Linked DNA regions of Danio rerio. The protein of the gene in region 1 interacts with the protein of each later gene in a pairwise test. Links are inferred from orthologs where the notes say so. Each region holds a gene or a part of one and is shown on either strand. Other genes may lie near its edges. The genes, in order: ptpn11b and gab2.

What was found.
Region 2: the proteins of ptpn11b (region 1) and gab2 interact in binary tests that used the Homo sapiens proteins (3 or more experiments, as listed by UniProt). The link is inferred for Danio rerio from reciprocal best matches to the Homo sapiens genes PTPN11 and GAB2.

The regions. Positions count from the first base shown.
Region 1 is NC_133198.1:26,857,161-26,861,611, forward strand, and holds the start of ptpn11b (tyrosine-protein phosphatase non-receptor type 11b), read left to right. Parts: upstream 1-1,446; 5' UTR 1,447-1,601; coding exon 1,602-1,615; intron 1,616-4,451. UniProt on the Homo sapiens protein: Acts downstream of various receptor and cytoplasmic protein tyrosine kinases to participate in the signal transduction from the cell surface to the nucleus. Positively regulates MAPK signal transduction pathway. Dephosphorylates GAB1, ARHGAP35 and EGFR.
Region 2 is NC_133190.1:10,638,359-10,642,184, forward strand, and holds part of gab2 (GRB2-associated-binding protein 2), read right to left. Parts: exon of another isoform or gene 2,665-3,826; coding exon 2,567-2,664; intron 664-2,566; coding exon 381-663; intron 267-380; coding exon 176-266; intron 1-175. UniProt on the Homo sapiens protein: Adapter protein which acts downstream of several membrane receptors including cytokine, antigen, hormone, cell matrix and growth factor receptors to regulate multiple signaling pathways.

The DNA.
Region 1 (4,451 bases):
GCAAATTGCATAACCGTGTCGGCCAGCAGATTAATCTCCCGCAGGCGGGTGACGTCATGCTAGCCTGACACTGATGCCACCTTCAAATCACCCCGACGCAAAACTGGGTGAGACCCAAATGGAAACTGCTGAAAAAACACACTGGGCTTTTCTCCCCTACTTAAAATAAGAGCATTGCAGCTTTATTAATAGATTATTAATAAACATCTCTGGAAATGAAATAGAGGTGATAACTACTGTACATGGAAAGAACTGCTAAAATAAGAGTGTGATGATGACTGGAGTGACAGAAGTGAATATATAGAATGTACATCACTTCATCACAACCCTCTCTGAGGTGCACTTTGGAAATTTAACCGTTTAACTGGCATTGCAACTGTTTGTCCAAAGATTAGCATTAAACTTTTTTTTTTTAAATCTAAATTTGCTTAGAGGGCTGTCAGGAACACAATTTAACCAAAGAAATTGGTGAAAATGTTCTCGTAGTTTTAAAAAGTCAGACAGTAAAGTGACAATCGATCCTAAACAATTATATAATATCAAATAAAAACAGTTTGGAATATTTTATGTTTTCATTATTTGTCTTCTTGGCAGATATTGGTCCTTGATAGGGTTTTATTAATACTAAAAATGCATATATAAGGCAATAATATAAATAAATAAATAAAGTACAAAATATATATTTAAAAGATTCATCAATATTATGCATTTCTTTCCTGGATTATCATTCTATATAATTAATACAAACTCTATATTATTACAAGTATAATGCTTTAAAAAAAGGCTCTACAGTGGTTCTTTGCCTTGTAATCATACAGTAGGAGACCCAATTTAGGTGATAAACTATAAAGAACTGTAATGGTTTTCTATTGGTTTTTTGGGGTGGTTAATGTATTGTAAAACAATAAATAACATTAGGTGGTTCCTTTATGATTACAAGCCAGAAAACAAACACTTTTAGTCATACACAGAAGTTTTACTACTCCAAAGAACCACTGGAGAAACATTATAGCTTCTTTAATCTAATTAAAATGTGTCCATTTAGCAGTATTGTTTTTTGTTTGTTTGTTTGTTTGTTTGTTTGTTTGCAGAATAATCTCTTATAGCCTATATGATTTAAATACACATAGTATTTAGGTGTATGATATGACTTTAGGCCTGCAGCTCATTTGTAATTATAAACAAACTGGATTGCAAATCCCATCATCCCATTCTGAGGAGTAGAGCCAGTAAAAGGAATCACGGTGTCAACTGGTGGCTGCCTGCTGGCTTCATTCTCCAACTAATCCTGTCACAATGTCCCAAGAACGAGCACGAGCTTTATAATACCTGACTTTTTGGAGATGTCTGGATGAAGTTTTTCCAGTGTGCTGTCAGCAGTGTGAATCGGAGAGCGGGAGGCGGAGGGAGAGAGCGCGAGTCCGGCGCTGTGAGTCTGTGTGTGACGCCCCTCGATCGCGCTCCGCTCCGCTGCAGTGACTCGGCGAAGGAGGACCGTTTTATTACACTTTCCCCTCCAGTCCTAGCGGTGCTCACACACACACAAACACGCACGCACACACACGCACGCACACACACATCTGACAGCTCTCAGGACGGCCATGACGTCTCGAAGGTAAGCCGAAGGCTACATTAATAAGTGCAGGAGCGGGTAGTGATGGTGACTGTAACTGTATGAATGAATCGAGCACGACACGCAGCTCAGTCTGTAGGACTCGGTTTCTGATCCTCTCGATCTGGCCCAATATATGTAACGTTACAGTATGTGTGTTCGCTTTTGTGCAGTGTTTATAAATATCGTGTAGTCTATCTTTCCGTTTATTTCGGTTGTTTACAAACGCTTTCGCTACCGGATATCGAATATGAATATCAGCAGCGCAAAGTCACTGTAACAGTGTGTCTTGCATGCAGTTTAAACTGTGCTTAATTAGTTTACTGTGCCAGTTTATTCGGAGACTTATGGTAACGACATCCTAATGTAACTGTACATCGTGTGCTGAAATAACAGTTTTAAAACACTTTAAAGCTAGATGAAATAGATTTGAGGAAAATAATGATATTAATAAAAATAGCCTTGTTGAAAGTTATAAGCATCGCTTAAAATATCTTTAGACAGAATTATGAATATTTTTTCTAATTTAAAATATTTACAGTGGGTGATCTTGTAAAATTTCTAATTTGTAGCAATGTGTTTCTGGGTTGGGACCATTTCATACACAATAGCTACATTTGATTGGACAGCAATGACCTATTTCAAAAATAAGAGTCTCCATGTAAAGCTGCTCATCTCAAACACAAAACGTCTCTTTACGTTAAACAACGTATTTCAAACAGGGAGAGTATGAATATTTAGCCAGGTAAGCCTTGAGGAATTTTGTAACTGGTTGCATGTTGCTAAACCTCTCGGTTTTAAATTTAGCCAGGCTTTAAACTTTAGTGTGTGTCTAACTTAACTGAAGTTTGCACATTCTTCTGTGACAACTTGTGACATGGTCCTTATATTTTCACTTTGAATATTTGGTCTAAAATCACATGTAAATTTGACTTCAAAACAACATTAGCTATACCTTGATAGACATTGGCTGCTAATATGATTTCATAATTAGAATTTGCAAATAATTCCTCTCTAAAATTATATTATTTAGGAGAAAGTCTGAATGTGTGTATATAAAACCAACTTTACACCAATCTTAAAGTGATAGTTCACCAGCAAATGAAAATGTAGGCCTACAATTTCCTCACACTCACGTGGTCCAAATCTTTAGTTTCTTTATTCTGTTGAAGATATTTTGAAGCAAGCAATTGTAACCATTGATGTTGTACTCTATGTTATTTGTTTTTTCTACTATGGAGGACAACAATAGTTTTCTTCAAAATATCTTATTTTGTGGCTTAGAACAGACTTAGAACAAGTGAAGCTGTTCATTTAAAGCACCGTGAGTCAAGTGCAGTGATCTGATTTGTTTCCAAAAGTTGGCCAAATGATTCTTAATGGGCCTATTTAATTCTAAAAGGTCAAATCTAAACATGGAGATAAAACAGAGGACTTGTAAATTTCAACAAATGAATATTTAGCCAGGTAAGCCTTGAGGAATTTTGTAACTGGTTGCATGTTGCTAAACATCTTGGTTTTAAATTTAGCCAAGGTTCAACTTTTAGTGTGTGTCTAAGAGACTCATTAAAAGGGATAGTTTACCAGCAAATGAAAATGTAGGCCTACATTTTACTCACACCCAAGTGGCCAAAACCTTTATGAGTTTTTTATTCTGTTGAAAACGAATTAAGATATTTTGAAGCAAAATGAAACCTTGTAACCATTGATGACGTCTTCTATTGTATTTGTTTTTCTTACTATGGAGGATGACATCAATTGTAACTGGTTTCCAGCACTCTTCAAAATATCTTATTTTGTGTTCAACAGAAGAAAGAAACTTTAGAATAAGTGAAGGTGAGTAAATTATGCCAACTTTCGGTTTTCAAAGAACTGTCCGTTTAAAGCACTGTGATGTAAGTCAAGTGCGGTGACCTGATTTGTTTCCAAAAGTTGGACATATGATTATACATAGGCCTTTTTATTTCTAAAAGGTCAAATCTAAACATAAATGGAGATATTGACAAGTTTATTGCATCTGCACAAAAAGCTGAAGCACGCAGATCAGTTATTGTCAGAGTTTGCACAGGTGGCCTTGGGTGAAAATGGGAAAAGACTGTTACTTTACATCAACATCATATTTCAAGATTCGGTGCTGGTGGTACAGTAGCTTCTCCACCAGCTTTCATTTGTCAGAGTAATAGTCTGTGAGCCTTTGGCCTTTACTCAGTCTTTGCATCATCTGTTATATAAATAATTCTGCCGCCAACAATTACCATTGACTATTATTAGCATCATTAGATTATCATTACTGGTGTCCTTCTCAATAACATTAAAAGAATAGTTCACTCAAATATGTTAACTCTGTCACCATGTATTATTATAAACACAACTTTTTTTCTCTAATAATGCAGAGTAGAGATGTTAGGCAGGTTCTAAGGCTCAGATACCATACCTTCATTCCATATGTTTTCATGCTGTGATAGAGTGACCATCTTTGGAGTTGCATGAAGGGGGAAAATTCATATTAAAGCAAAAAAGTAGGTGAATCTTGGTATTTCTTTTTGTAGAGATCTGTACTGTATGAAATCTGGTCTGATTTAACAGGACATAATGGAGGATGAATATGTTTTATGTGCAAAAGTGACAGGGATCTGTTTTGCGTTAATGCTATGGAAACAGGAAACTAAGCATTATTTTCATTTCAGATTTACATAGATTACATTTACAAATGCTTTTTTGTTTTTGTTTACAAGAGGTTTATTTGCATAACGGTGGCTAATAAATTTCCCTGCTGAAGATGTTTCTCCACATTTAATTCATTATCAGCCTGTGACAGGCAAAAGAGAATGTAATGTGG
Region 2 (3,826 bases), on another chromosome or scaffold:
CAAAAGTCTAGGTGTGAAAGCACCCTTCAAGTGTTAGTAAAATGTTAAGTACAGCAAGAACTTTCAAAGCACAACATATGCTTGGTTATGAATGACAAAGGTGCTTGACTTAAAATTATGGCGCTTTAAAAAGTATTAAATTTTTTTTTTTTTCTAAATTGTGAGAGAGACTCACATTGGCCTTGTCCAAGACATGGTAATAGGACTCTTGAAAGGAAGTTCATCAATGATGCCATTGTTCCTCAAATCGAGAGGTGTTGGTTTTGCTGCAAAACAAAGTTAAACAATCTTTTATGTTTTAAAAGATACACATTTTAGCATTTTACCAAACGTTATTAAAGTTACAGAAGACAAACACGAGTAGTTTTGCCAGTGCTCACCTGTCCTTGGTTTCAGGTTGCGGTTGATTGGTGGTGGTGTGACGTCGCTGAGACGCCCCGGTCGGAGACACAATGATGCTGTACTACCCTTCCTGGCTGGTAATGTTGCCGAGAAACCTGGGAAATCAAAATGGTGAGGACCTGGGCTCATGGGAATATAGTTATTTTTGGGACTGTCAGCCAGGGCAGCACTGAGAGGGGAGGAGGACGAGCCGGGATTCATGGGTACATAGTTATCATCAGAGCCGGCACTATCAGAGCGGGTCAATGGGGCTTTAGTTCTCTGTAAAAGAAAGAAGAACAATCCAGCTTACACAGTTTCCAGATCAGTGGTGGAAACCACTGTGACACACACCATTTGTTCCTGCGTACTTTGAATAGACTTGTTATTGTCAGTTTGTGACTTTGTGAGTTATGAGGTCATTATCAGGAAATGGTGTCATTTGTGTCTTTATGACTTACTAGAGCTATAATTAACAGGACACTGAACTTAATTACTGGTGATCTGTACTTACACACTATAGATGTGATTCTTTATATTTAAAGTTAATTGTAAAATAAAATATAATAAACAAAATCTTTTTGTGCCAATTATGGTGTCTAAAGAAATGTAAAAAAAGAGAAAGAATCACACATGTATAATTAAATTTATTACACTGCACAAAGCACTTACCGTGAAAAATGTGCTCTGTTACAATTATATTTGTAAAGCTATTAGATCATTTTCTTCTGACCTTTTAACATTCAACTTCAAAAAATACCCACTTGGGTTTATGCTGCTAAAGTTGATTTCTTACAAGTTCAGATGTTATCATACAGCATTTCATAATTTTGCCCAGTATGATGCGATTCTGGATTAAAATCTACACTCACCGGCCACTTTATTAGGTACACCTTACTAGTACCGGGTTGGACTACATTTTGTCTTCAGACCTGCCTTAATCCATAGTGGCACAGATTCAACAAGCTACTGGAAATATTCCTCAGAGATTTTGCTCCATATTGACATGATAGCATTACACAGTTGCTGTAGATTTGTCAGCTGCACATCCATGATGCAAATCTCCTGTTCCACCACATCCCAAAAGTGCTCTATTGGATTGGGTTCTGGTGACTGTGGAAGCGATTTGAGAATAGTGAACTGACATGTTCATCTGGTGTGGTCTTCTGCTGCTGTAGCCCATCCGCCTTAAGGACTTGTTGTGCATTCAGAAATGCTCTTCTGCATACCTCGGTTGTAACGAGTGGTTATGTGAGATACTGTTGCCTTTCAAACCAGTCTGGCCGTTCTCCGCTGGCATCAACAAGGCATTTGCACCCACAGAACTACCGCTCACTGGATATTTTCTCTTTTAACAAGCATTCTCTGTAAACCTTAGAGATGGTTGTGCATGAAAATCCCAGTAGATCAGCAGTGAAATACTCAGACCAGCCAGTCTGGCACCAACAACCATGCCCTTATTCAAAGTCACTTAAATCAGTTTTCCTCCCCAATCTGATGCATGGATTGAACTGCAGCAGATCGTCTTGACCATGTCTACATGACTAAATGCATTGCGTTGCTGCCATGTGATTGGCTGATTAAAAATGTGTGTTAGCAAGCAGTTGGACAGGTGTACCTAATAAAGTGGCCGGTGAGTATGTTGATCCTGGAACATCATGTTTGTTGGAAAATGCAATCCATACCTAATCCCTACCCCTTAACCTAACCATAAGTGTAAATTACTCCTAAGGTCAGATGGGAATATTAGTTATAACAATCATGTAGAAGTGCAAAAACCTAACCATGAGCCTGGACATAACATAAACGGTAAACATATGCCTTAATTCTAATTGGCTGATTGAAATGTCGTTCCAGGATCAACCCCGATGTCTACTTGGTGAAATTAGGTTGGCGTTGTCATTCAAATGGCACCATTTTCTTCAAATTAATTATAATAATGTGTTTACACAACAAAGAGTCTTCACATTTTTGAGGTTTTGTCCCAGTTTACATCTACAGTATCTGTTAAAATAACTGTATTGGCTGTATTATTCATGCAAGATGATTTGTCTGCACAAACAGTCTTGTATTTTGTTTTCCAAGTCCTTGCCTAAATGCTGAATGTAATACAGAGCGTTTTCAAAAGTTAGCATTTATAGACCTTGAAAATGTGTCATGCAATTGTTCTAGAAAGCTGCTTTACCAGGTAAGAACTGAATCCATCGTTTACAGACTCCACCGACTGACCAGAGTTGTTAAAATAGACTGGCCTCTGGTGACTGCTGGTTTCAAACGAGGATCCTGAAACAGAGGAGCAAGAAAATGTAGAAATAAATCCACCAAGTAATAAGCCTGAGGTACAAAGTAATCTAAGAAAAGCCATCAGATATCAGACCACTCTTCTGTTCCTTTATAAATTCTGCTTTATTTGAGAACATGGCCACCAAACGCAGGTGTGGGAATCAGGCAAGGATGGTCAAAAGGTCACTTCCTGTTCCTGTAGACACACTAGTCTGGCCTTGCTGAACACAAACCACTAGGAAATCACTGAATTGTGTCTGCTCATTTTTTTCCCCCCTTGCAGCTTATCAGGCCGGAACAAGCCATTCTGGGTCTGCCTGCATGGCTTGAATTTCATTAGCCTCGTAGCAGAGCAGAGTAAACCTTGACCAGATTGCCTCTCAGTTTCAAATCAGATGTGTACATTTAGAAGAAAAAAAAAATGAGAAGGAAAGAGAGCCGAGGGGTCAGGATTAGCTTTTGTAGAATGGGAAAAGAGTGACAAACGTCTGAGAGAACTCTGCAAAAACATAACACTAATAAAGGAGAATTAGAGATGAAGAGACAAGATGAGAGAGACAAGAGAATATGGGTGGAAATGGGAACAAAAGGAAAGACAAGGATGATAGTAAACTGAAAGATGCACATAAAAAAGAGAATAAATAAGGAGGAGAAAGAATGAGAAGATATGAAAGGTAACATGACACGTGATGGAAAAAATAGAGGTAATGTGAGACAAGTGTGAGAAATGACACAATCTGCAAAAAAAGAACACATGAAACCAACATAGACAAGATTAAACCAAATGTGAGACGAGAGATGACAAGATTAGAAGTGAAACCAAAATAAAAAAGGAGATATGAGAGGAAACTAAGTGAGACCAGGTGAGCTTAAGACCAAATGTGATGTCAGGATTTAAAGAAACCGATTAAAGGAGAGACTAGATTAAAAATGTGGAGAAATAGAGATGAGAAGAGAAATAAAAATGGGAAAAGGGTAAATGAACGAAACTCTGGGTTTTCTGTTTTAAAATGGCAGGTTTGTCAAAAAACAAAAACAACATGAGAGGAAAAAAACATGTATTAAGCAAGACCAAAAACAAGGAGACAAATTTGAGAGAATTAAACTGTTAAAATGAGCAAGACACAGGAGACAAGACAAGATGAAAAGAGGTTAAAGTGAA